Linked DNA regions of Nothobranchius furzeri. The protein of the gene in region 7 purifies or fractionates together with the protein of the main gene of each other region. This does not show direct contact. Links are inferred from orthologs where the notes say so. Each region holds a gene or a part of one and is shown on either strand. Other genes may lie near its edges.

Evidence for each region.
Region 1: the proteins of stx12 (region 7) and stx10 purify together in Homo sapiens (affinity purification with mass spectrometry; 3 studies listed by BioGRID and IntAct, counting the BioPlex papers as one, with this or other methods). This does not show direct contact. The link is inferred for Nothobranchius furzeri from reciprocal best matches to the Homo sapiens genes STX12 and STX10.
Region 2: the proteins of stx12 (region 7) and stx8 purify together in Homo sapiens (affinity purification with mass spectrometry; 3 studies listed by BioGRID and IntAct, counting the BioPlex papers as one, with this or other methods). This does not show direct contact. The link is inferred for Nothobranchius furzeri from reciprocal best matches to the Homo sapiens genes STX12 and STX8.
Region 3: the proteins of stx12 (region 7) and napgb purify together in Homo sapiens (affinity purification with mass spectrometry; 3 studies listed by BioGRID and IntAct, counting the BioPlex papers as one, with this or other methods). This does not show direct contact. The link is inferred for Nothobranchius furzeri from reciprocal best matches to the Homo sapiens genes STX12 and NAPG.
Region 4: the proteins of stx12 (region 7) and sybl1 purify together in Homo sapiens (affinity purification with mass spectrometry; 3 studies listed by BioGRID and IntAct, counting the BioPlex papers as one, with this or other methods). This does not show direct contact. The link is inferred for Nothobranchius furzeri from reciprocal best matches to the Homo sapiens genes STX12 and VAMP7.
Region 5: the proteins of stx12 (region 7) and synaptosomal-associated protein 23 purify together in Homo sapiens (affinity purification with mass spectrometry; 3 studies listed by BioGRID and IntAct, counting the BioPlex papers as one, with this or other methods). This does not show direct contact. The link is inferred for Nothobranchius furzeri from reciprocal best matches to the Homo sapiens genes STX12 and SNAP23.
Region 6: the proteins of stx12 (region 7) and snap47 purify together in Homo sapiens (co-immunoprecipitation; 3 studies listed by BioGRID and IntAct, counting the BioPlex papers as one, with this or other methods). This does not show direct contact. The link is inferred for Nothobranchius furzeri from reciprocal best matches to the Homo sapiens genes STX12 and SNAP47.

The regions. Positions count from the first base shown.
Region 1 is NC_091744.1:1,410,056-1,412,329, forward strand, and holds part of stx10 (syntaxin-10), read right to left. Parts: intron 1,617-2,274; coding exon 1,554-1,616; intron 1,421-1,553; coding exon 1,337-1,420; intron 63-1,336; coding exon 1-62. UniProt on the Homo sapiens protein: SNARE involved in vesicular transport from the late endosomes to the trans-Golgi network.
Region 2 is NC_091747.1:69,890,227-69,894,467, forward strand, and holds the start of stx8 (syntaxin-8), read right to left. Parts: upstream 2,801-4,241; 5' UTR 2,453-2,800; coding exon 2,436-2,452; intron 1,474-2,435; coding exon 1,374-1,473; intron 1,301-1,373; coding exon 1,206-1,300; intron 994-1,205; coding exon 883-993; intron 1-882. UniProt on the Homo sapiens protein: Vesicle trafficking protein that functions in the early secretory pathway, possibly by mediating retrograde transport from cis-Golgi membranes to the ER.
Region 3 is NC_091751.1:42,362,737-42,365,040, forward strand, and holds part of napgb (N-ethylmaleimide-sensitive factor attachment protein, gamma b), read right to left. Parts: intron 2,265-2,304; coding exon 2,198-2,264; intron 2,120-2,197; coding exon 2,049-2,119; intron 1,945-2,048; coding exon 1,866-1,944; intron 1,693-1,865; coding exon 1,613-1,692; intron 1,517-1,612; coding exon 1,387-1,516; intron 1-1,386. UniProt on the Homo sapiens protein: Required for vesicular transport between the endoplasmic reticulum and the Golgi apparatus.
Region 4 is NC_091741.1:28,141,947-28,146,073, forward strand, and holds the start of sybl1 (vesicle-associated membrane protein 7), read left to right. Parts: upstream 1-1,327; 5' UTR 1,328-1,512; intron 1,513-1,829; 5' UTR 1,830-1,859; coding exon 1,860-2,005; intron 2,006-2,102; coding exon 2,103-2,160; intron 2,161-3,344; coding exon 3,345-3,482; intron 3,483-4,127. Other genes in the region: polr1d (DNA-directed RNA polymerases I and III subunit RPAC2), read right to left, coding at 726-764. UniProt on the Homo sapiens protein: Involved in the targeting and/or fusion of transport vesicles to their target membrane during transport of proteins from the early endosome to the lysosome. Required for heterotypic fusion of late endosomes with lysosomes and homotypic lysosomal fusion.
Region 5 is NC_091758.1:23,397,493-23,401,384, forward strand, and holds the end of synaptosomal-associated protein 23, read left to right. Parts: intron 1-1,877; coding exon 1,878-2,022; intron 2,023-3,315; coding exon 3,316-3,378; 3' UTR 3,379-3,392; downstream 3,393-3,892. UniProt on the Homo sapiens protein: Essential component of the high affinity receptor for the general membrane fusion machinery and an important regulator of transport vesicle docking and fusion.
Region 6 is NC_091751.1:49,578,117-49,582,366, reverse strand, and holds the start of snap47 (synaptosomal-associated protein 47), read right to left. Parts: upstream 2,801-4,250; intron 2,485-2,800; exon of another isoform or gene 2,354-2,484; intron 2,343-2,353; exon of another isoform or gene 2,136-2,342; intron 2,054-2,135; 5' UTR 2,028-2,053; coding exon 1,531-2,027; intron 1,432-1,530; coding exon 929-1,431; intron 657-928; coding exon 256-656; 3' UTR 1-255. Other genes in the region: 2-oxoglutarate and iron-dependent oxygenase JMJD4, read left to right, coding at 2,801-3,053, 3,125-3,290, 3,691-3,816, 3,908-4,175. UniProt on the Homo sapiens protein: Plays a role in intracellular membrane fusion.
Region 7 is NC_091751.1:25,527,620-25,531,721, forward strand, and holds the start of stx12 (syntaxin-12), read right to left. Parts: upstream 2,801-4,102; 5' UTR 2,679-2,800; intron 2,604-2,678; exon of another isoform or gene 2,476-2,603; intron 2,136-2,475; 5' UTR 2,095-2,135; coding exon 2,001-2,094; intron 1-2,000. UniProt on the Homo sapiens protein: SNARE promoting fusion of transport vesicles with target membranes. Together with SNARE STX6, promotes movement of vesicles from endosomes to the cell membrane, and may therefore function in the endocytic recycling pathway.

The DNA.
Region 1 (2,274 bases), on a different chromosome or scaffold from region 7:
TTTAGGACTCTGATGCTGCCCGTCACCAAATCCAGCTGTTCATCCTGCTCCTGTATTATCAACTTCACACACACACGCACACACGCACACACACACACACACACACACACACACACACGCACGCGCACGCGCACACGCACACGCACACACACACACACACACGTTCAAAACTCAGGATTCCCCCCAGAAAACTTGCTAAGCCCAGCGAACTGTGATAGCGCGGGTGTGTGTGTGTGTGTGTGGGGGGGGGGGGGTCGTTTGCTACTATGCCTCGTCCGTGAAGGGGGGATTGCGCTCGGATTGTTCTGCTACCAGGAGAGGGCGGGCACTTGGACGCCTGGCCTGGCGGGGTAAAAAGCAGGGCTTATGAAGGTCTGGAGGAAACCCTGAAACTTCAAACTTCTTCATTCTCATATTTACAGACCAGCGCAAATTTGAAAACATGAGGTCTGCATCGTTTCACACCAAATCAACGAGCCGCAAACAGAAAAAGAAAATCAGTAAGAAATAAAGATATTACTGTTGTTAAATCACAAAGGTTTGAACTAGCTGTTGGGTTTTTCTTCTCATTTTGTACCAAAACCCACAACCTGACAGGATGTGTGACGGGACGCTTGTATCACTCACCACTGCAGTCAACCCACAGCACAGGAAGCACAAACTAAACCTTCATTCAACCCGACGCAGAAGACTCCTTTTCTTTATTGAGAGAACACGGAGCCATGCTAACCTGCAGAATGAGCCCAAAGCGCTCAGATCATCTTTATTCGACACGTAGCCGACGCATTTTCTCTCCCTTTCCTTACATTTTTTATCACTATTTTTTTCCTCATTTAAACATGCTTCTCAATCATTTTTTAAATCTTTTTTGTATTTACATTTTTTGGTTTTTGTGAAGCGCCTGGTGATTTTTATCTTGAGAGGCGCTACATAAAAGATCGTTTTCTTGCTTTCTAGCATTAACTCCCAAGCTTTATTGTGATTGGATTGTTTGATTTAAACGTTTCACAAATCAGATTCAATAGGATTTTCTCCAAGAACTCAGTTTCATGGCACTCAGTCATTATTTAGTTGATAAAAATAAAAGCCAAAACGCAAAATGAGCATAAAAAAACTATCATTAAATCATGATATAGAAGCCTTAAGACATATTTAGCAGCAGTAACCAACTTCTATAGAACCTCAGCCCCTTCATTCAGCAGAATTATCATTTTAAACCCTAAAATTCCCACAAAAAACACACAAAGGTACCCACCCCCCATTTATTATATAGCTTTTTTCCGTTTTAAATGTTGCTTTAATACTCGAGCTTCTTCTCTTCCTCTCATCCATCTACCTGTTGCTGCTCCTGTTGCTCCTGAATGTATCTGGAGTTGGCCGACACCAGATGAGCCTCCAGTCCTGTTGATCGTTCTTGGCCCTTTGACGTCAGCCCGAAAACACAAACAGAAGACACGGTCAACGGATTCCAACATACAGAGACGTACAGGGAGCTGAATCTTTACAAAGTGTGTGTGTGTGTGTGTGTGTTCTGCATTTAAGGGTTTTCTCACCTGCTTACTTTTCTTCTCAGCCTGAGCAACGGCAGAGGGACTGGACAGCTGATCTTTCATCTCCTGCCATCCCAACACAAGACAAAAACGGGTCACAATAGGGACAGGTAAAGCCCTGCTGGGTCTAAACGGCCTCATTAATGACATTTTCTGTTGCTTTGGTCAGAATCTGCTGTCGGAAAGCCAAAATGTCAAAAAGTGGTTTGTTCCCTCTCAGCAAAAGTCGAGTGACTAAGTCCTGCTCGGGTTCCTTTACAGAGACGGACTCCTATTATCTGTGTGGACAGACGGACACTCATTCAGCTTCAGGCATCAAACCATCGGGCCTGGTTACAATAAAAACAACAGTGAGAGCAAATTAAGTTTTGTTTTCCTTGAAGGCGGAAGCTTCAGCTTGTGTTCGTCCCAGCAGGGCCTCGGCTGCTAAAACACATAAAGACCTTTCTGATAACAGGGTGCTTTCCTCAGCTCAAACAAACTGACTTGAAGGAACTGAAAATCTAAATTTACTGTTTAAAATCAAATTTAAAACACACATTTACATTACTGAAACCCCTCTCACTTTTATGAACTTGTTTTTAAAAAACATGCACAAGTAACCGTACAGGGAGCCCAAGTCACACCCATCTACTTCTGCACCACGGGGCCCCAGAAGAACGAGAAATAAAATAAATGCAAGTCAACGGGGCTAAAAACGCTATTTTCCAATTCTGCTTGTTTT
Region 2 (4,241 bases), on a different chromosome or scaffold from region 7:
TAAAACAAAGGAATTAGACGCCAAGCTGTCAGAACGATGAGCAGATTTCTGTCCAAGTGATAGCACTCAGTGAGGTCACAGCACAGGGGTCACCATGGATACGCAAAGACTACCGGAGAAACTCACTGACCAGTAGCGTCTTTAACTGAGAAGCCACAGAGTGAAGCTTTTAAAGGTCACAAAATAACAAAATTAAACATAGCAAGTTCGGAACAAGAACTTTCCTAATCCTAGAGAAATGTAGGGAGCATGGGCGTAATTTTTGGGGGGGACAGGGGGGACATGTCCCCCCCCCCCCCCCCCCCCACTTTTTCCAAAGTCAAGTTTTGACCCCTGCACTTTTTACCACCCAAAAACAACATTACGCTATATTACATTGACACTGGTTGAGCTCTAGGACCAAGCGGAAAACAACCGTTTGTTTTGAAGTCTGTTTCCCATTAGAGCATACTGTAAAGATACCCCCCCACACACACACACACACACACACACACACTTCTAAAGTGAAAATTACGTCCATGGTAGGGAGAACAAATATTACATAAAACACATCAGGATAGGGAAGTGACGTACCAGATTAATCATCCTAAAAAATCCTGATAAAATGTGAACGGAGCTCTGGTGGGGCAAACCTGCTGTAAATACAAACTAGTCCTTTCACCTCCAATCAACATATTAGACTGAAATCTACATGTAAAAACAAGATTTTTAATTAATTAACCTGTATTTTAAGTTTTTTTTTTACCAACATCAATAAAATGTGGACAGTTAGGACATTATGAATAAAAATAGATGTACAATCTCCATACTCTGCTTGTCATATTCATTGTATAGAAGTTTTAGATTCCATCATATCCAGGACCACCTTTAGGATGTTAATACCTAGTAGGTTCGGGCTCTGTGGCATCTCCTTTGAATGTTGCGTTGAGCTGCTTCTCTCTGGTTAGCAGGTCATCAATAAGGTTCTGCCTCCTATCAGCTTCTGACTGCATTCTGATGGGAGCAAGTTGAGGTTAAATGGTTGATTTAATGGTGGAAGTTGAAGTTTCTGACAGGTTTCATTTTTCAGGTTCCATTTAACATAACTCTACTGCCATCTACAGGCCAATGAGTGTCTCCGCAATCATAAACAAGACTTCAGGCTTGCCTGTAAATCTCAGTCTCATGACTCTGGGAGTTGGTCACATTGTTGGGGAAAAGGATACATGCGTCGGGATGAGGAAATTCGCAACAAGCCTTCTCTGAGCTGGGAAATATTCTGCTTTAGTTTCTGGAGCGATGCCCGTAGCGTCATGTTAATCTGCAGAGTCAGATCACAGGATCAGTGCTGAACAAGCCTCCACCGGGTCTATTTAGGTGACACGCAGAATTACCTTGGCTGGGTTCCCCCCTGTTCTCTGCTGCCTGTTCCTTTCATGAATGTTTTCTGCAACTTCCTGTGCCAGGCGACAAGTGGCATCATAATTCTGCAACCTAGCAGGGTAGAAAAACGTCCAGAGCATAAATCACTTGCTGCCGTTTAACTCAACTCAGTCTTTGTTTATAAAGCACCTTACAGTCATGAGCATGCCACCAAGGTGCTGTACAACAAAAGAGTAAAACAATAAAACATACAACGCTACAGACATAATTAAAACCACAAATGAGAATTACAAAATATAAAACACTAACAATTGCTAACTCACAGAATTAAAAGCCAGATCATAAAAGTAGGTTTAAGGACATGATGGTTTCGTAGTGTTTAATAACACAACTCTACAGGGTTTGTGTTCATGAACCGAGTAAGTAAGCTAAGAATAGGTTAGCAACATTTACATATCTTGGATTAAAACAATGAAAAGTCCATTAAACTATAAACGTGGCCAAAGTTTGGGATTAAAACGTACACATTTTTGGTACACGGACTTACAAATTATCGTCATCTAAGTAATTTTAGATGTTTGACAATCTACATTTAAAGAGCTCCCAGCTTTTTTAATCTTTTTAATTTTACAGAAATTTGGGGCACTTAAAAGTGCCCAAACTACAGACATATGTGTTAACATGTTAGTTACCATGGTTACCTGTACCGATAGAAATAGCCACTTCCTTGACACTAACTCACATGACGAAAACAGGAAAGATTTTATCAACGAGAGCAGCTGACTGCACCGCTTTCCTCTCTAACAACATGCAGTTTAAAGTTGTTTTATATTTATGACATCACAGTTCCTGTATTACTCCATTTTTATGATTTGAATTGCGTAAAAAGACCTGTGTTAAGAATAAACCAACACACAGCCGTAATAGATTTATCCAGCGGCTAACGCCGATAAGGGACTAGCTAGCGCCTCCGCTGGTTTGTGACATAAATCAGATTCCAGGCGAAGAAACGGAACATGCAGTTCAAAACAAACCCGAGACGACTTGTTTTAGCGTCGGAAGGGTTTACCTACCAGGGGTCCTGAGACATTGTGACAAAAAAAAAAACTAATAACCCCAGCAGAGCAGAATTTAAATCACCAACAAACCGAACCCGGTAGCGTTCACTTGTTTTGGATGCGACGTCACTACGGAACGCGGCGAGGACCAATGTACTCCAGAAAGAAAATCAAAACCCACTAACTAACAAAAAGAAATAAATAAGCAAGTTACCAGTTGAATTAACTAAGAATAAATTATTAAATATACAAAAACACCATTAAATCAACCATTTAACCTCAACCTTCTCCCATCAGAATGCAGTCAGAAGCTACCAGGAGGCAGAATATCATGACCTGCTAACCAGAGAGAAGCAGCTCAACGTTTAACCCTCCCACTGTCTTCATGGGTGACCCCGCTAGGAAAGTTGACCACTGAGCAGGACTGATGGTTTATCCCTTGAGGTCCACGTGGCTGGGGTGAGGTGGTGCTCACTCCTCACCCCTGCCACATGGACCCAAGGGATAAACCATCAACCCTGCTCAATGGTCAACTTTCCTCGCGGGTCACACCCATTAGCACAGTGGAAGGGTTAAAGATGTCACAGGTATTAACGCAGGTATTAAAGGTGGTCCTGAATATGGTGCAGAGTTTCAACAAGAGTCCTAATTAAACATAAGCAACATTAGCATAAGTTAAATATGTTACTTGCCTGTTAATGTGTTTGGTTTACTACACTTCAACTTTCTTGTTCTCGAGCTCTTTCTTTTAGTATGTGTTTGTTTACTATGTGACAAAGAACCAGTGGAAGGGCAGCAGAACAAGTTCCTTTGGGGCAAAATGGTAAATTTTAGCTCCACTACATGGGGTGTATAAGATGAGTGCTTGTAGATGTTTTATGTTTCATAACCAAACACTAGTTCTGTTTGAATGAAAACACACACAGGTTGTGCAAAACAGCAGACATCTTCTTGGAACAGGCTTTCTTGACATTTTGGTGTAACACATATGAGGCAGTTTCAAAGAAAAGGTAACATTTGTAATCTGATTATTCCGTTCCTTCTGACCAGCTTGTTTTTACTTTGGATTCACTTCCAAATACAAATAAGGCGTGTCATAATAAACGTCTGAGAATCTCTGGGCAAAACAGGATCATGGTGCAAAAAACAGGAAAATAAAACATGTTTACCTAGATAATCCAATAATGCTGCTGCAAAAGCATTCAAAAAGCTCACTATGAAGAGCCAGGAAGAAGTCATCAGCATGTGACAGAAACTGCAGAAGATTTGAACAAAAGCCCAACTTTGAAAGCGGGCAACAAATCTTCAAGAGCTAAACAAGGAAAACAGCTTTCAGTGAAACAGAAAAAAAAACATTTTAAAAAGTTTCGAGAAACAGATCGTCCTCTGAGACCTGAGCTTTTCCCCTGGAGAGCGGTTAAGCTTTCAAAAATGGCCAGGTTTTGGCTTCATTCCAGATATTTTTGATGCCCTGATTCGTTGTTTTAGAGGCTCTAATGGATGATGGCACCCTTGTAGGGGCTTTCAACGTCTTCTCAGAAAGAATCTGTTGTGAAAGTGGAAAACAGAAACATCAGTGGAACTTTACCCTTTTCTGTACCTTAATTACCACAAACAAACCATCCCTCGCTCATGTGACCTCAGACTCATATAACACTCTGAAGTGGAGAGGGGAAACATTACTCTCCAGATGCCTTTCCCGCTAATAATACGACTTGAGATGATTCACGTTTCAAGGACGCCAGAGTTCTCCAACTGTGGAAATGTTCATTTAATTTCAAACGCAAAATCTGATCAGGATCTGGGCTCCGTGGCAACAGG
Region 3 (2,304 bases), about 17 Mb from region 7:
AATAAAAACAAAAAAAAAAAAATCTATTTATTCTTTCCAGGCTCAAATTTCTCATCACAGAGAGGTCACGGTCCTGCAAAACTAATAAAAACTTTCACAGAAACAAAATATAACAAGTTTAAAATAGGGATGTCCCGATCAGGTTTTTTTGCCCTCAAGTCCGAGTCATTTGATTTTGAGAATCTGCCGATACAGAGTCCCGATCCGATACTTTCGATTCATTTAAAAAAAAAGAAAGAAAAGGAAGAAACTGTTGCAGAATGTTCCTTATTGTTTATTTAATTACCTTTTTATATTAATTTTTAACAACAGATCACTTCTGTGAGGTAGCTTGAACAATCAAGTAATAAATAACATAAATCTTCACTTTTGGACTTCATTGCAAATATAAAAAGTCTCATATAAAAACAGATAGCACTTCAACTTAAAATACCTGGCAGGGGTTTATTTTGCCTCGGCCCCCAAAATGCTTAGATACGTCCCTGGGCATGGGACGGAGTTTTGAAGATGATCTGAATTGTATCAGCTATATAAATACTACATGCTGATAAATTATTGCTTCACACAGGTACAACCGTGTAGTGGGACAAATCTACCTACATTTTATTTTTTTAAGAACTTTGTTTTGTTTTCTTGGTTTTTATTTTCCTTTCTTCCTGTCCCGTCTGTCTCTGATCTTCCTCCAGAAAAAACTCCTGCCTGCTTCCTTCGTTTTCATCTCACAAGTAACTTTTTAATTAGCAGATCAAATTGATCTACTGACCGCAAAAAAGCGGAGTGTGCGCCGTGCTGCCCGGCTGCGCCAGTGACGAGCGCTGCAGCTGCAGCGCGAGCACGTCCACACGTCATGCTCAAATACAGACAGAACTTACCAGAGAGAAAATGAACGGACACGAATGACTGTGTGTTAATGATACATTTTTTGGTGACGCCACTTAGAAACTTAGAAAATGTTACTGTGGCCGTGTGCAGAACGCAGCTGGAGTTCATGAATAATCAGCAATCTGCCTGCCGCTCTCTGCATCTCTGCTCAAAGAATCCCCGCTACGCTGAGTCCATATAAATAATATAAAATAGGTAGAAACTGGATGTTTTTGTGCTCCTTCTGGCTGTGTAAGTTAAGGGCATCAGGGAAGCCTGACAACCTTTAAGGAGAACCAAGTTGCCCTCCTCTAATTTGAACCCAGTATCCAAGTCCGGATCGGGGCTTGGATCGGGAAGTAAAGCACGAGTCCCGATCAGTCTGAAACCACGTGATCGGGGCCGATTTCCGATCATGTGATCGGATCAGGACATCCCTAGTTTAAAACTTGGCTGCAGGTCTCTGATCCAAAGAACCTTGACCAAAATTATCAAACTAAAAAGAAAGTATTTTGTATTACTCACATCATTGTCCATGTACTTGAGTAAAGGTGAGTTGCACACCCGGTAAACCTGATCCTCGTCCTGCTCATCGTAGCCCTGCAGTAGCGTCTCCATGGCAACACAGTCCTCACTCCCGCTGTATCCAGGCAGACTTGAAGAAATTACCGGTAACGTGTGATTTACGGTAAGTGGAAGCAGCCAGACTGAAACACATTCTGAGGGGGAAGCAGGAGGTTCGGAGTCCTACCTGTAACTTTCTCTGACACATTTATCAGCTGCAACGTAGTCGCCTCTGTGGAGATGAACCAGGACCTGAGCGGTTGTTTTCTAACAAAACAGAGTACAAAACGTCTTATTTCTGGTCTGAGATCACAGTTTTGGAACATCATACTAAGGAGTGATCAATGTGTTTGATGAACCAGCCAGCAGATTAATTTCTGACTTTTAGCCACAAGTCAACAGGAAGTTTTAAATGTTATTAAATGTGCAAAACAACTCACTTTAAAACACATTGGAAAGTTTTCAATCTCTTTGTACATGTTCTTCTCCTTCTGCAGGGCGACTGCAGCTTCATCCAGCCTGATCAGGGAGAGAAGAGGGGGGAGCAGGGCGATTCAGAACAGGTACTGTGACTGAATTTTAGGAGGGAAACCTTCAACATGCCATCAGTCTGTCTCCTTTACCTTTTTAACCTGACCAAGAGTCTGGAGGCTTTTCCCAGCAGCTCCACGGCCTGACGTAGACGGTCTTCGTTCTGCAGATGATAAACAGAAAGACATGTCGACTACTTGGAAAACAAAAACAGTAGAGGAGGAAAATATTTGATTCTCACCTCAAACACACCAGCTGCTTTCTGATAAAGATCAACAGCTTTCTCCAGGTTTAAAGGCTCTATCAGTCTGAGGACATAAGATACTTTATTCAGGTGAAATTAAAGAG
Region 4 (4,127 bases), on a different chromosome or scaffold from region 7:
TCCTTTTTGTAATTTTTTTTTAATCTGAGAGACAAAATCGCCTCTTAGAGTTGAACATTCCGTTTCTCCTCCAGGACACTGTTTATAGTTCTGACTGAATTAAATACAGAGTCAAATGTGACATTTTATTTCACGGTGAAGACAACAGAAGACAAGTCTTGCCTTGCTGTGCATGACCTGCTACTCTCCTTCCTAGCAAGAGGGTTATTTTCTCACTCTGCTTCCGGATGAATACTTTCTGATGTAAAAAACGAAGCGAAACAAACATCTGGTGAAGTTTTTTTTTCCCGTTGTGTTGTGCCCAAACAAAAGCGTGACCGTCAAAACAGAGGCATGTATCAAACCGCAACTTGGGATCCTGTAAACATTCAAATACAGTTCTAAAAGCTAATGTCTACATTTGCTGTTTTAAATATTAATCAATGTTTATCGTATCTATGATGAACGCTTATTACTCATTTTATTACTGAACTGATACACAGGCCGACATTATAAAAAAAAGGGGTGAGCTTCGCACGCACGACGTAAATCTGCAGTAACGGACTGAGTTCAGGTGAAGAGTCGTGCTAACTACCTAGCTAGCTACTGAAGGTATCCACGTGAGGAGTAAACTTAAGGGGTTACGTTTAGCCCCTATGTATCGATCATTTCCTCCCAAGTGGAGTCGGTTTACCGTCAAGATCACTTGGTCTATATGTAAACTGTGACACTTTAAAATGTCCTACCATTTCAAGCTTTGGTTTCTTTTCCATTTCTCCGGCCATGCTTCAGGCTTTTTCCCCCTTCTTCTTCTTCGGGTGTTGTATTGCGGGTGGCATACGTGCATTTCTGCCACCTACTGTGCTGGAGGGGGTCTATCGCACTCTTGATGGGTCACACTGATCAGTCCTGAGTTGTTGATCCTCATCTTTGTCTGACAGGCGTAAAGCGCAAACAAATTTCTAAATTCTATTTAAATATTTTAACATTTGGGTAAGCAGATGTTCGAGTTCGTAACAAATATGTATAACTTTAGATTATTTGTACAAAAGTAGTTGTTCATTTTGGGTAAATAATTTGTTTTATTTGAGTAAACTACAAATACTTAAATTTATCTGAAAAAATAAAATACAGTTTTAGTCTGGTAGTTCTTCCTTTACGGTATCAACACATTATTGATCTGAAAAACGTCCACAAACCAATTTTATGGACGATTTGTTCGCCTGAAAGTCTTTCAAAAGGGCCAATTTAACGCACACCTTCTATTGCTGTAATCAGAACAGAATTGCGCATGAAAACATGTGACGTTGAACGTCACGTGTTTGTCTGAAAAGAATTGTAGTTCAATAACAGAACCAAATGCGTTAAAATGTGGCTTTAGAAACTACATTACCCAATAGTGGGTTGAGGTCATTTCCGGTTTTTTGATTTTGCTAGTCAGAAGTCACTCAAAAAGGATTAGCTAGCAGCTCAAACAGCTTATGTGGCTATTAAAACTCTACGAGATACTTTGAGCATCGCTGACACATTGAGGTAATACATTTATTTGTGTTTTCTGTGGTTGTTTGGTTTATTTTGTTACCATGACATAACGTAACATCACACCTCCCTAACGCAGCTGTGTTTTGTTGAACAACATTAGCTAGCTAGTTTTTCTCCAAGCTTTTGTTTTGTCTCTCTAGAAATTACTTGAGTTTAACACACGAGCTGGCGGCTGCTCGCCTGTATTTGAATATTTCAGATGAACACGATTTTTCTTATTTGTTTAAACAAGCTCCTGCTTGCCCATATGGCTTTATTGGCCCTAATATCCACCCATCTCTATACTTCCGTAATTTTACTGTCTACAGGTACATAGCTGAATCCCCCCAGCTGTTGCCATGGCAATCCTGTTTGCTGTGGTGGCTCGTGGAACCACTATTCTGGCGAAGCATGCTTGGTGCGGTGGGAACTTCCTGGAAGTCACAGAGCAGATTTTGGCCAAAATTCCTTCAGAGAACAACAAGCTGACCTACAGCCACGGCAGGTAAAATCCTAACGCAGTGCATCTGTCCAGAAGCTGTTTCAGAAACACTCTTGGTGACAGATCTCAATGACTTTCTCCTTTTTGTTTGTTTTTATAGCTATCTCTTTCATTACATCTGCCATGACAGAATCATATACCTGTGCATTACTGATGATGTGAGTATACAACAACGTTACCTGCCAAATAAGGATACTTATCTACTCACGAATATATAGTGTCACAGGAAAATGCATCTTTTTAATCATGTAGCCTCCTGATTTAGATTGAGTAGTTCTTTATGTCCTGCTTTAAAACAGCCAGACTTTCTCATACGCTTTTAAAGTTGGATGATTAATAATTCTAAAGTCTTTCAGGTTTTTTTTTTCCTTTGAACTGATTTCTGAGGATTGTTTTGGTTCTGTTTGTTAAGCTTTAAGTTATTTATCTGTGGCGTATAATTCATTCATGCATTAAAAAAGCCTTAGATACTAACAGGTGTTGTGTTGTGGTTTAACAAACAACTTGGCAACGGGCCAGTTAGGATCTTTAGGCACTTTGCTACCAGCAGCCTGCCACAGACACTATTTTTGTTCCCATTTATTTAGTATAATCTGTAAAAAGTAACACAGTGTTGCAGTTGGTAGCAGTGTTGCCTCGCTGCAAGGTCGAAGGTCAAAATCTGTCCTTTCTGTGTGTAGTTTGTATGTTCTCCACATGCATGTGTGGGTTTTCATGGATAATGCATTGTCCACTGAATCAAAACGTTCACATTAAGGCTGACTGGAGACTTTGTCCCTAGGTTTGAGTGAGTGTGTGACTGGTTGTTTGTCTTTCTGTGTGATGGACTAGCCTGATGACTGCTAGGTTAGACACCAGCTCCCGTGACCCTAGTTAGTTAGACCGAAGCGGTTCAGATAATGGATGGATCAATAACGAAATAACACTGAAAAGTTTACGTCCTGTCAGGTCTTTGATTGTTTTTAAAAGTATTTCTCAAACAAAGCTTTGGTACTTTACACCTGCTGTTCTTTAGGTCTTCTTTTGCCCATTGGTTCACATTCCTCATTTTTTCAAGAGCATGCTGCACAACATCCTGTCATGGTCAGGTATGAGAAGAGGAAATGAGTGGAGAATCTACCAAAGTCCAAAAGAACACTTTAAACGAGCGTCAGAAAGTCTGGTGGTTTAGTGATCAATGCCACTAGAAAACGTCAGTCTGCTTCCTTTCAAGCAAAAATTAAAAAGACAAATCTGTGTGTTTCAAAATGTTATTATTAAAGCAGAACACTCACACTGTTCCACCCTTTTTAGTGAATCTTGGTTTGTTTTAACTCACTTTATTTTTATTTTTTGGTGGCAGGACTTTGAGAGATCACGTGCGTTCAGCTTCCTCAGTGAAGTCAAGAAGCGTTTCCAAACGACGTACGGCTCCCGAGCTCAAACAGCTCTACCCTACGCCATGAACAGCGAGTTCTCCTCAACACTAGCAGCTCAGTTGGTGGGTGCAGCAAAAGGCTGAGGACATTCAGAAAAAAATTTGCAGACTAAATGTTAGTCAAACATTCAAGTATTATTATGAAGCGCGTTTAAAAATGGCTGTCACTGACCAGAGTCTTTAAGGGATATAATAAAAGAAATGAGTGAAATAGCACAAGACCATAAAGGTAGAGGAAACCAGAATAAAAGTGTAAAAGCTAATAAGGAATTTATGTTCAAGTCAAAGTCTCCAGAAAACCTCTCGGGGTGGGGGTGCGTTAAATCAGCTGTTTCCTGATCAGAAAAGCCCTTCACTGCCAGCGTTTTTCAGCGTTTTCACAGTTTTTTTAAGAGTCACCAAACATTCTGCTGTATGATGATGTCAGCGCCAAAACTATCAAAACAAAGCGGAGACTCGCCTCTCACATCAGGAAGAATCCGCGCGTTTCGAGCGTTATCCGTTCTTTCATAATCCGTTGTTGAACTGTGATCGGCAGAAGCTTTTCCGGTTCGCGCCTCACTTTTTTTACAGCAGCGGCCCAAAACGATCTCCTAACACAGGGATGTTCTGCTTCCTGATCACGTGACGTGTGAGGTATGCAGATGAAGATCGGCTTTAGAGCTGAGATGTTTGTTCTTACGGTGCGGGGGCTCGTCCGACGCCCAC
Region 5 (3,892 bases), on a different chromosome or scaffold from region 7:
CCTCTTCTGGATCATCTCTGCCAAACTTCTGACGGGCCTGGACATGTACTGGCATAAGCAGGTGGACCTTTTGAGCACGGCAGAATTTTAAATCTGTGATGACAAAGTGTATTACTTATGGTAACCTTTGTTACTCTATCTGCTTCCTCTTCAGCACATCCTGAGCTCCTTCAAAGGAATCTCCTACCATCTTTATGCAGAAGACATCCAACTGTACATCTCCTTTAAGCCCCATGAGACATCTCAGCTGCAGATGTTACACACCTGCTTAGACTCTATCAAAACCTGGATGGCTGGGAGCTTTCTTCAGCTGAATGAAGATGAGACTGAGATCCTCATCTGTGCCCCAGACAAGCTGGTTCCCAAAGTCAGAGACTCTCTTGGTCAGCTTACTTCTCACACCAAACCTTCTGTCAGGAATCTTGGCGTGACCTTTGACCCAGCTCTCATCCTGGATTCTCATGTCAGTTCTCTTGTTGCTCTTCCTTCTTCCATCTCAGGAACGTTGCTAAGCTGAGTCCCATTCTGTCTCGCTCTGAACTTGAGACAGTTATCCACACCTTCATCTCCTCACGCTTAGACTACTGTAACTCTCTTTTCACGTGTCTGAGCAGAACCTCCCTGAACCGTCTACAGGTGGTTCAGAATGCCTGTGCTCGGCTTCTGACCAAGTCCTCCAAACACACCCACATCACCCCGCTTCTCCTCCAGCTTCACTGGCTGCCAGTCAACTTCAGGGTTCATTTCAAGATCCTGGTTCTGGTCTATAGGGCCTTACATGGACAAGCACCATCTTACATTGGTGATCTTCTTAGTCCCTACACCTCCAGCAGGTCCCTGAGGTCCAGTGATCAAAGCCTACTGGTTGTGCAGCACCAGGCTAAAGACCAAAGGTGACAGATCATTTGCTGCTGTGGCCCCCAGACTCTGGAACTCTCTCCCCCTGAGCCTGAGATCAGTGGACTCAGTGGTCTCCTTTAAAAAGCAGCTGAAGACTCACTTGTTCAAGCTGGCTTTTGTATGACCTTCTTCACCACTCTCTTTATTCTGCTCTCCCCACCTATTCCACCTTCCTCAGGATCCACTGATTTCCCTCTTTCCTATGCATTTTCTCTTTAACATTTTTTTAATCACAATTGTCAATTTTTTGCTCATTATAAATAAATTTTCAATCATTTTCTCAATAATTTTTCATTTAATTTCAATTCCACAATTGTTTTTGTGAAGCGCCTCGTGATCTTCATCTTGAGAGGCGCTATAGAAAAGATATTTTCTTCTTTCTTCTTCTACTGTGGTTCCAGGTCTCTTCAGGTCATTGACCAGTGTGCCCCCCCCCCCCCCCCTCCCCTTTCCAGGTTCAGGGAGATTGTATTTTTTCCCTCATTTTTTAAAAATTGTAGCAAAAGCTGATCCCTTCTCACCAAGCAGCTCGCTTATTGTAGGTTGTCTCGTCCCCGTCTTGCGCAGGTGTGTAATGTTGTCCTGGGTGTCGTTAGACGGCTCTGTGGTCTTGGCCATGGTGGAGGTTGGAGTCTGAATGTTTGAAGGTGTGGGCAGGTGTCTTTTATACAGAGAATGGGTTTAAACAGGAGCCATAAGTTGAGGATAGAAGAGGTTCTGTAAGGGACAGAATTCCTTGTTGCTTATTTTCTGCACCATTACAGCAGTAAAAGTCATACAGTGTGATTTATGTTTATATTCTGTCTCACAGCTGAAATGTAAATGACATTATGATGACAATTACAGATCTCTTTCATCTCTTAAGGGGGACATCTTGCACAACCAGTGGTTGCCAGATCCATTTGTGCCCTTCTGACGGTGAGATTGTGACGTTCCTGTTGGATTCTTAGGTGTTAAACTTCATGTCTGATGTGCAGGATAACCAACGACGCTCGAGAGGATGAGATGGAGGAAAACCTGAACACGGTCGGCAGCATCGTCAGCAACCTGAAGGACTTGGCAACAAATATGGGCAACGAAATCGACAAGCAGAACGTGCACATCGACAACATCACTGAGAAGGTGAGAGCATTTTTAAAATTTTAAATAGGCACAATAGTAATAACGTAAAATGTTATTATTGTTGGTGAATTCTTCTGTTCATCATTTTACTCCTTTGGAAAACAAACAAGGAGTTAACACCTGCTGTAAAATGACACTAAACACAGCAGTTGTTTCACATCAGCGCTGTAGAGTGAATGAAAGGTGCATCATCACAGGAGAGTCCCCAGTGGTCCCAGAAGAACCCCACTGTGGTCTAATACCAACCTCCATCTGTGCTGAGGCACGATGCTGGAAGCATCACATTACAAACAGTTTGGGGGGGGGTGACGACAAACCATCAGGACAACTCTGGACCAACTTCAGGACGTGTCTCTGCCTGTCCTGCAGTGGCTCAGCCAAAGCCAACACTTTAATCCCTAAATCCCGCCAGTGTGCTGATTCCTGAGGACGGCGGTTCGGAGTAGCTCTCCATCCAGCCTCTGGGATTTTAGGATTATTTGCCTGGAAGTATGAGATGAACCGGCCAAACGCGGAAGCTGGATCAGGACTTTTCCAGGAGACTTCTTGCTTAAGGTGTTCAGTCGGAACACTTTAAAGAAATGGCAATTTTATCTAAATTTGAACAACACAATGAAATGTGGAGGAGAATCGTTCCAGACTTTTGCTTTTCTGATGTTTGTAAATTCACATATTGAGATAGTTGGTCATCTGATTATTTCATTAGATCAGCAACCTTCCTCTGTTTATGTTTATGTATTTAGCAGACGCTTTTGTCCAAAGCGACTTACAAGTGATAATCGGCGTGTTGCCCTTGAGGCTAATAACAACAATTACAACAACAACAACCAATTTCCAGTCAGTCGTAGGTGGCAGTGAGGCAGCATGATGAATCATGGAGAGGAGGGAACAAGGAGTGGACAGTAGAGAGGGGGACGGGTGCAGGGAGGGTGCTAGTTTAGAAGATGCTCTCTGAAGAGCAGGGTCTTCAGGAGTTTCTTGAAAATCGAAAAGGAAGCCCCTGTTCTGGTAGTGCTTGGTAGGTCATTCCACATTTGTGGAACGATGCATGAGAAGAGTCTGGATTGTCCTGAGCGTGGTGTAGGCACTGCTAGCCGACGATCCTGTGATGACCGGAGCGGCTGGGCCGAGACGTAAGCCCCGACTCTGTGCTGCTTGATTTCAGGAAAACATGCAGATCCGTGTTAAGATGTGCGTTTGTGCAGAGAAAAGCTTTTGAAAAGTTATTTAAATGTGTTTGCAGATTCCTACAACATGACAGTTTGTTTACATCTTCTGTTTTCTCTCCTTTAGGCCGAGTTGAACAAAATACGCATTGACGTAGCGAACGACAGAGCCAACAAGCTCATCAAATAAACACAGAATCCTGCTCCTGCCTGTTTCCTCATCACGTCCTGTTGCTACGTACATGCACATTGTACACTTCTGCACATGCACACACACCTTTTCACTGTTTAATGAGCTGGGTCCTGGAGACGGCGGCGGCTGCATTGTGTCGGTGACAACCAAAGAGGGAGCGACTGAGCGCCCAGCACAGAGTACACACCAGGCCTGTGACTACATATCACATGATATTCACAAAGTCAGCTGTTTTCTTATTCCTGTCTGTCTGTCTGTGTGTGTGTGTGTGTGTGTGTGTGTGTGTGTGTGTGTGTGTGTGTGTGTGTGTGTGTGTGTGTGTGTGTGTGTGTGTGTGTGTGTGTGTGTGTGTGTGTGTGTGTGTGTGTGTGTGGCTACTGAGATGCTCTCATCACAGCTAGTTTCTAAAGAAATCCAAACACACAAACCCGATTAGTTATCCCGCTCACTTCCTCCTTTTGTTCCATCGTTAAATGTATGGTTGTTGTTTTGAGTTCATATTTAATTATTC
Region 6 (4,250 bases), about 24 Mb from region 7:
AAACAGAAATAGCAACACTAAACAGTTTTTAACTATTTAAGCCATTGCTTTCAAATACTAGTGTGGGTTGGTGCAGTAGGGGGATAGCTATTATAAAGGCTAGCAGTTAGCATTTTCAGTTTAATAAAAACACAAGAAGAAGAAGAATTTTGCGTTTTCTTGGCGGAGCCTGGAAGTATGCTAATGTCTTTGGATGCAAAGCAAAGAGCTATAACCAGAGTGATTATTGGTGTGGGTTACTGAAGCTAAAGGATGCTATGAAATTACAAGATGGTGACCTGGCTTTGTTGTTACTGAACAACAAATATGATTATTTTTCGTCCAACAGTGTTGATCTTTTAACTTTCTGATTTGTTTTAGTATCAGTTGGGGTTCAGCTGCACCATGTTTCAACACAGAGAATTCAGCAGGAGGTGAAAATAGCTTCAGGCAACAGAATCTGGAGTCTTTACACAAATTTCTTTCACAAATTAAAAGCAGCAGCAGTGCTACTTTGTTTTTAAACCGGCTATGAAAATCCAAGTTTCTCACCTGCTTGAGTTCCTGCGCCTCAGCCTGACTGACAGATGGCTGGAGGGCTTGCACCTGCAACTGGGACAGCTCACCTGCTGGGACCTCCAGTGGGAGCTCAGACTCTCGGCTCGTCTGCCGTAAACCTGATTTCCATGGGTGGAGATGGTGAGGAAGTGTGAAGTGCAAGCAGTGTGTTGTTTATACGTAAACCAGACAGTAAACTCAAAATACAGCAACTAAAGCAGTCAAGGTGAAGTGACTCATCAAAATACATTTCTGTGAAAGAGAAACACCAATAACCATGATGAAATGTTTTAACATGTGGTTGCTTAGAAATATGCTCTTTGCTGCCACCCGGTGGTAACATGTAGAATAAGCATGGGTAATACACAAAGATTCACCTGACTGTTCTTACCTTCTCTCCAGTGTGTCCCTTCTTTGCCACAAACAGATGAACATGGAGTTGCCTTGAAAGTGGTGTATTCACTTGTAAACTCTACCTTCTTCTTGTATTGCATCTCCAAAACAGACAAGGCTTCTGGCATCTTTGCAGAAAGAAACCTGTAACATATATCTGGTTTCCCAATGAACCGCTGTCTCACTGTGATCTCATAGGAATTGCACACCCGTATTTCATCAATCTCGTTCCTTTCGAATTTGTGTAGGAGTTGGCAATTTGTGTCTCGCACCTCCAGTGAGGACACCAGCACTAGCAAACATCCAGGTTTCAAGTCAGAGTCTCCACCTTTGGACACCACCGCTGGGATGCTTGTGATCACCTTATTCCTGCTGGAACCCTTGCCTGCTGAGAGGACAGCTGCAGCTCTGGCAGCGTCTTCAGCCTTGGCCTCTTGCTGAGCCTTCCATGGGAATTTGCCAAAAGGCCACCAGGGTGGGGACTCCAGTTCTGACAGAAGTCTGCAATACAGAGTATTGAGAAACACATGTAAATAAATGCAGCATCATCAAGACATAAAAGAGCAAAACTCAATTCTAAAAAGACTTTTGAATAATTACTTGTCAGCAACGCCCAGATCGGAGTCAATCTTCTCCAGTCCCTGCATCATGTTGTCAAACTGCTCTCCCTGATGGCTGAGGACTCTGCCCGTGTCCTCCAATCGTCTCTGGGCCCCCGTCACTAGGTTGATCAGTTCTCTCCCCTTAGAAATCTGGCACTCAGCCCCTTGAGCCTCTGAAGTGGGAGACAGAAGACGCTCTCTCCAGAAATGTTCCAACACATTATAAACAACCACTCGGTTGGGTTTAAGGGAACCAAACCAGTGCTTCACGTTGCCTTCCTCAAGCACCGTCAGGGTGCTGAAGATGAAACTAGACGACTCCATCTTGATCTCGATGATACATGACAGACGGAAACTGACGAGACAGTTCTTGCTGAGGCTTGAAACAAAGCACACCATGGTTCTGGAGAGGGACAGGGTTCCACTCTCCCACCGCTTCTCATTGTTGATGTAATAGGAGCCAGGCCAGCTGTGGATGGGAACGTCCCGGCTCATCTTAGGGAGGAAATGTTAAATTCCACCTGGTACAAAGAAAGACAGGACTGAGCGCTCACATGGAGATGATTCCCTTATATTTATTTAGTTATATCATAACTGACGGACCTGTTTGTGCCTTGGTAGTGAACATACTTTTTTCAGAATAAGCCATGCAGCAGATGAGCTCAGATGACACGTTCAAGCAGACAGGTTAAGCTATTTATCCGCATCACCAAAGTGAATTTAAGACAACTGAACTTTAATATATCTTTGCAACTTCCTGCTCGTAAAATAGAAACCTCCCCACAGCTAAAAGACCGCCAACAAGTAAAACATGACGTTACCTCGCATTCTTCTTGGTAGCTGTTTATCGTGGAAGTGACGTCACACCGGTACGGTTGGATTTATTGTCCGACTTAAGCACTTCCGGTTGAGACTAAAACATTCAAACACTAATCGAGTGCGGTGTGTGAACGATTTGAATTAAGCGGAATATTTGCATGATAATTGAACATAACGTTGGTATACGAAACTTGACATAAACAGAAACTGCGCTGATATATTTGCGATGCTAGGGAACCATAGGACTTTGACCTGTTGTCGGAGTAACTTGTATATGAAAAATCGTTTATTTTATATTTAGTTTGGCCTTAAATGAGACCTACTTACACCAATGTCATTTTTATTCTTCTGTCTTTTTTTCTGTCTGTTTCTGGATGTCCATACAGTAAACAAGGAGAAACATCATTAGCTAGCTTGCTAACCAGCTAGCCGGGCTCTTGTTTACAAACATGGACAGAGAGGCGTACCGCAACTGCTGCAGCCTGGTCAAAATACCAAGTCAGTCCTACGAACTGTTCTGGTCATCGCATTTTGTAGACTACATCGACAAGGACCTGAGCTATTCCAAATTTTTCAAGAAATACCTGCTAGCGAATCACCCATGCATGTTCTCGAGAAAGTTCACAGAAGGCTGGAAGTGCAGAAAACAGTGGGTGACTGAGGAGGGTAAACCTAATTTCCAAAAGCTGCTACAAGAGTTTGGTAAATACATTTAATTTTGCATGCACCATGATTTCAAATCACGCGTATTTACGCTTATGTTTCATTCACAGATGAAACTCCTGTCCCTGTTGCAAACTGCAATGCAAAGGAATACAACGCCAACCCCAAACAAGTAATGCCTTTTAAAGAATTTATACATTACTGGAAGGAATACATTCAAAATGGACACTCCTCACCCAAAGGATGTCTCTATCTGAAAGACTGGCATATGTCAAGGTATGGTGCATGCGTTTTTCTATTGCACAGCTTTAAAATGTGAAGAATATAATATATAAAAAGGAATTTCACAATAATAAAGGCTAAAACATGCATGCTGGGTAACCTGATCTGCTAAATGAACAAACATAACACCGTTTTGCAAGGGTCATAAGCAGTGTGTATTGACCTGACACGAATTAAGTTTGATCTTAAATGTTTTGTTCATTCTAATTTATTAACAAAAAATTTAATTGTATGATCTATTTACATAGAAAATTACAAATGTGCATTCTAAGCGCATATGCATTCGGGTTTTTTTTCAGTTATTTTTTAATAGCAGTATTATTTTAAATGTTTTGTTTTGACATAGTTCAGGTTACTGTATATTTTCCTAATTCCTTTTTATATTATGCAACAGGGACTTTCCTGAACATAATGTTTACACAACACCAGTCTTCTTCTCTTCTGACTGGCTTAATGAATATTGGGATACACTGGAGGTGGATGACTACCGTTTTGTCTACATGGGACCTAAAGGCTCATGGTATGGAAAAGATAAAACAATACAGGTAAAACTCATAATATACTAATGTTTCGTTATTCTATTCGATCCACTGCCTTTTTGTTGTGTCCAGGACTCCGTTCCACGCCGATGTGTTCCGCTCCTACAGCTGGTCCGCAAACATTTGTGGTAGGAAGAAGTGGCTGCTTTATCCTCCTGGTCAAGAGGATTTTTTACGAGACACTCATGGCAACCTCCCTTATGATGTCACATCAGCTGAGCTTCAGGATGGAAACCTTTTCCCACAGTTTGAAGAAGCATGCCAGCCTCTTGAAATTATCCAAGAGGCAGGTGAAATAATTTTTGTGCCGAGTGGCTGGCACCATCAAGTTTATAATCTGGTGAGAACTGAGCCGCAACAAAAAATGTTTGCTAATGAATAGAAAACATTGTGCTATGTGTGACAGATGTAGCTG
Region 7 (4,102 bases):
ATTTGCAGTAATGTGACGTCATCGGCAGTCGAAGGACCCCGAGCCGATCCTGTACCGACACCGTGTCCTCTACATCTGGATTTTTCTTCCAATCAGATTTCAGCCTCTATTGATGCCAGGGAGAGTCCAATCTGCCCAAAGCGTTCAGAATCAGTAGAACGGGCCTTTGTTAGTTATACCATATAGTAGTGGTAGAGTGATTTATCGCCCAATGCCAATATACAGTATCTCCTTAGTAAAGCAGATTTAAAGTCAGGCACATCCTCAGGCAGCCTGGTGCTGCTGCAGAGTTATGTTCCTGAGTAACTTCTGCATAACAAATAATTTTGTTTGATTCACTTGAGTTAGATGTCTGATTTTAACACTGAGCCGTGCACAAAATTAAGGTTTAACAGTTGGTTAAATTACAAGTTCAAAAACTGATTTAGCTTCAGAAATTTTGTGTATCAACTGATGTCTAGATATCGGCCATCAGCTGACCATTAGCTCTGCTTATCGGCATCAGTAATAGAAAATCCAACATTGGTTAACCTCTACTATGGGATCTGGTTTTTTTAACCAGTGAGCTTTCAGAATCACATCGCTGAGCCAGGTAGTTGGCTCACGGTGACATCAGGGGTTTTTTGTCCTCCGATTGGTCCGACGGTCTGAGAGAAGCTATCTCTACCAAGTGTCGCTAGCAAAACACATTCTTGTGAGCCATGCACATTAATACTTTTGATGTTACTTATTTTTTATGCCCACAATGGCTGATGGAACGGGATGAATGGATTTGGTCTCAGGAAGTATTCCATTTTCAAGTCGTACTTTCTCAGAAAAGCTGGACATGCTAGCCCGCTGACGGAACTAAAACACAGAAATCAGCTTTATATCACTTAGGTTTTCCTGCAAAAAGTGAGAAGTAGGGGTGCACCGATTGCAGTTTTTGGCCAATCACCGATCTTGAGAAAAACCTGACTTGCCGATATCGATTTTGTCTTAACGAAAAGCAAATTATATCAATGTTTCAATTTCCTGTCATTGAGAAAACCAATACAATACTCATTAAACAATACCAGTTTCAACTGGACATGAGGTAATGTTCTCAAATGTAAATTAACATATTTAGCATTGTTGTTTGAACTACAAAATCATATTTGTTCCTTTAAGCCAGGCGGGCACTGTGCGACTCTTTCACTTTTTTGAGCCGATTTTCCCCTCGTGCGAGAATCTACAAGATCGGGGCAAGTTTTGTGCAGAGCGTCGTGTAGTATACAGGTGGTTACGAGAGGCAATTAACACCACGTGACCAGCTACCTATCAGCAATCGTGAGCTCGCACTGATTTCTGGCATGTTTGATATTTTGCTCGTCCCTCGTGAGGGTTGAAGCAGCGCTGCGAGTGGCTGCAACCCAAAAAGTACCAAAACCGCTCACGGCGCATGCGTCATGCGTCAGCACGGCTTGCCAGCTATTTCTCTATTAACACATGTCGTTTGTTTTTATTTCTACACTGTTTTTCACACACAATGACAAGAAAGCATGTTTGCCATGTTTATGTCAAATTAAACAGTTCACAAAACACTGATTTACTTTCTTTCTTTCATTATCCTCATCCAACCCCCATAAATCCCTGTGTGTACTCCTGCAGCACTCCAGAGGGACAACAGACATCAGTAACAACACAAAAAAAAATTCCCCTCATAATTATTAGTAATTGTTAATAATAATTAAGTGACACCACACCCTGTTACATACTCACTCCCCCCTTATTATTAAATAATTTTGTTGTAAAACGAGAAACTGATCATTCATCAAGAGACCTGCTGTTCACACCTCTGAAGAAATAACATTAAAGAAGCCAAAAAGACTGAAGTGCGACCCTGGAGAGATGATGATCAGTGGATAATACCGTGGGGATAACAAACAGGCTATAAAGCTCATTCACATGGTCATCACGTGACCATGTGGCATGTGATTTCCCACCAGGCTGAAGCGCGAGGAACAGGAGAAACCTCTTACTGTTCTGTGTGATCTTCTGGATGTTTGAGCTGCAGGACTGGATGAGAAAGCTGAAGTCCATGTGAACCGGGCGGAACTCCGCTTTTCCGTACATGTTTGCGACTGTTAGGAGCTTCCTGACACGTTAAACTGGAACTGCAAAAGAAAATGGAACAATAAACATTGCATTATTGAACGATTTGGCTTAACGACATAATGGTTTAAGTAAGTTTTAAGGGTCTAAAGATTTAAACTCGTTTCCCTTTTTGACTCTGTCACGCGTATGAATGACGTTTGATTATTTCAGTAATGAGCTCAAAGGTCCAATCAAGTCAGATTATCACTTATTTATCACCGCTAAGCAGTTAAACTAAATGTAAATGTAAACAAATGTCCGAACACCGAGTTAGCGAACAGACCAGTTTGCTGTTTAAACGCCTTTAAATTAACCCCATAATTAATCAATAACAATAAGGAACGGAACACTTCAACAAACCGTCGTATCTGTTTAGCTCAGCTAGCGTTGTGTTGGTAGAACGGAGAAGCTAAACCTTCGTTTTAGGCTAACGGTGGCGAACTTGTCTACTTTCGTCTTTTTACAGTAAAAACTGCTCGTAAACTGGACACGCAGAGCGTGGTCAATTAAAACAAAGACGAAATTCTACATTAAAACAAGGCATCATGCTGTAATTTGCTTACTAATGTATTGAAATCGATACATGGGCGTAGATGACTCGTCCTCCGTTAGGTTGATGCTATATTGCATTAGCGCTAAGACCTCACAGACCAACACACCCTAACAACCAATACCAGGATGCTACTTCAACAGCTCAACCAATCACAATGCAGCGTCCCACCCATTTTATCACGGCCTCCAATCATAGGTCAGAGAGCCAAACCTACTTCCTGGTCCGTGGTGTTTTTTTAATTTATTAATTTTTTTTACAGGTTTTATTCAGAAAACACATTCAATAAATCCATGGATCACATTTTACAGTTGTTTAGAATTGCAATAATATACATGCAACATTAGGAAACTATTAAACAAAAAACCAAGAAATAAAAAAAACTGACGAAAACATATATAACTTAGAAACATAACACTTAGGGGTCTGCTGTGTCTAAGTTGAAATGATGAAATAAGTTGATGGTCTTTGTTAGTTTGTTGTTCTTCATTTTTAATTTTTCAATGCTGTTCCAATATTTCATAAGGTCTGTAATTCTGAAATTATAGAAGGGGATACTTTTCTGAAAAATCATTTTATGTAAATAATATTTTGCTAAAATAATGACTAAGTTAATTATGTATTTTTCATTGGATGATAAATGAGGGTTAGTAACAATAAGAAGTATTTCATATTTGCTTAAAGAAATATTTTTTTTGTAACTTTTTGGAAATGTATCTTTTTAAATGGAACCAAAACAAAGTTACATGAAAGCAATCAACAAAAACATGTTCAATAGTTTCTCCCTTACAACCACAGAAAGTACATATGTCAGAAACATTTGGAAAAAAATACAGATGTTTGCTTTTGACGGGTAATATCTATGAACAATTTTGAATCAAATTTCTTTTATCTTATTCACAATAACATATTGGTGAGGTAGCAGAAAGATCCTGTTCCAGAGTTTTGTATTCATAAAAGTCCATCAGTGTTTACATATCGGGGTTGAGACAGGATCAATTACTTTTCTAATAACAGAATTATTAAATTTCTTATCTGTGATTGGAATCCCAGAAATAGTTGGAGGTCTGGCTGTTGCAGATAAGATGATGTTTGATTGTATGGTCTGTGTTAAATAGAAAATACAAACATAGATGGATTTAATTACCATGTTATACTCTTCTTGTGAAGTATTAATGTTATATTTTTCTAAGAAGACTTTGTGGGATAATGTTTCGCCATTAGTATTTAGTAGATTATTCACAGTGTTTACATTGGGGCAGCAGTAGCTCAACAGAGCGGGTTGTCCAGTAATCGGAAGGTTGCAGGTTCGATCCCGGCTCCGGACAGAGAACTCTGCTGTTGTGCCCTTGGGCAAGACACTCAACCCACCTTGCCTGCTGGTGGTGGTCGGATGGACCGGTGGTGCCTGTGCTCGGCAGCCTCGCCCCTGTCAGT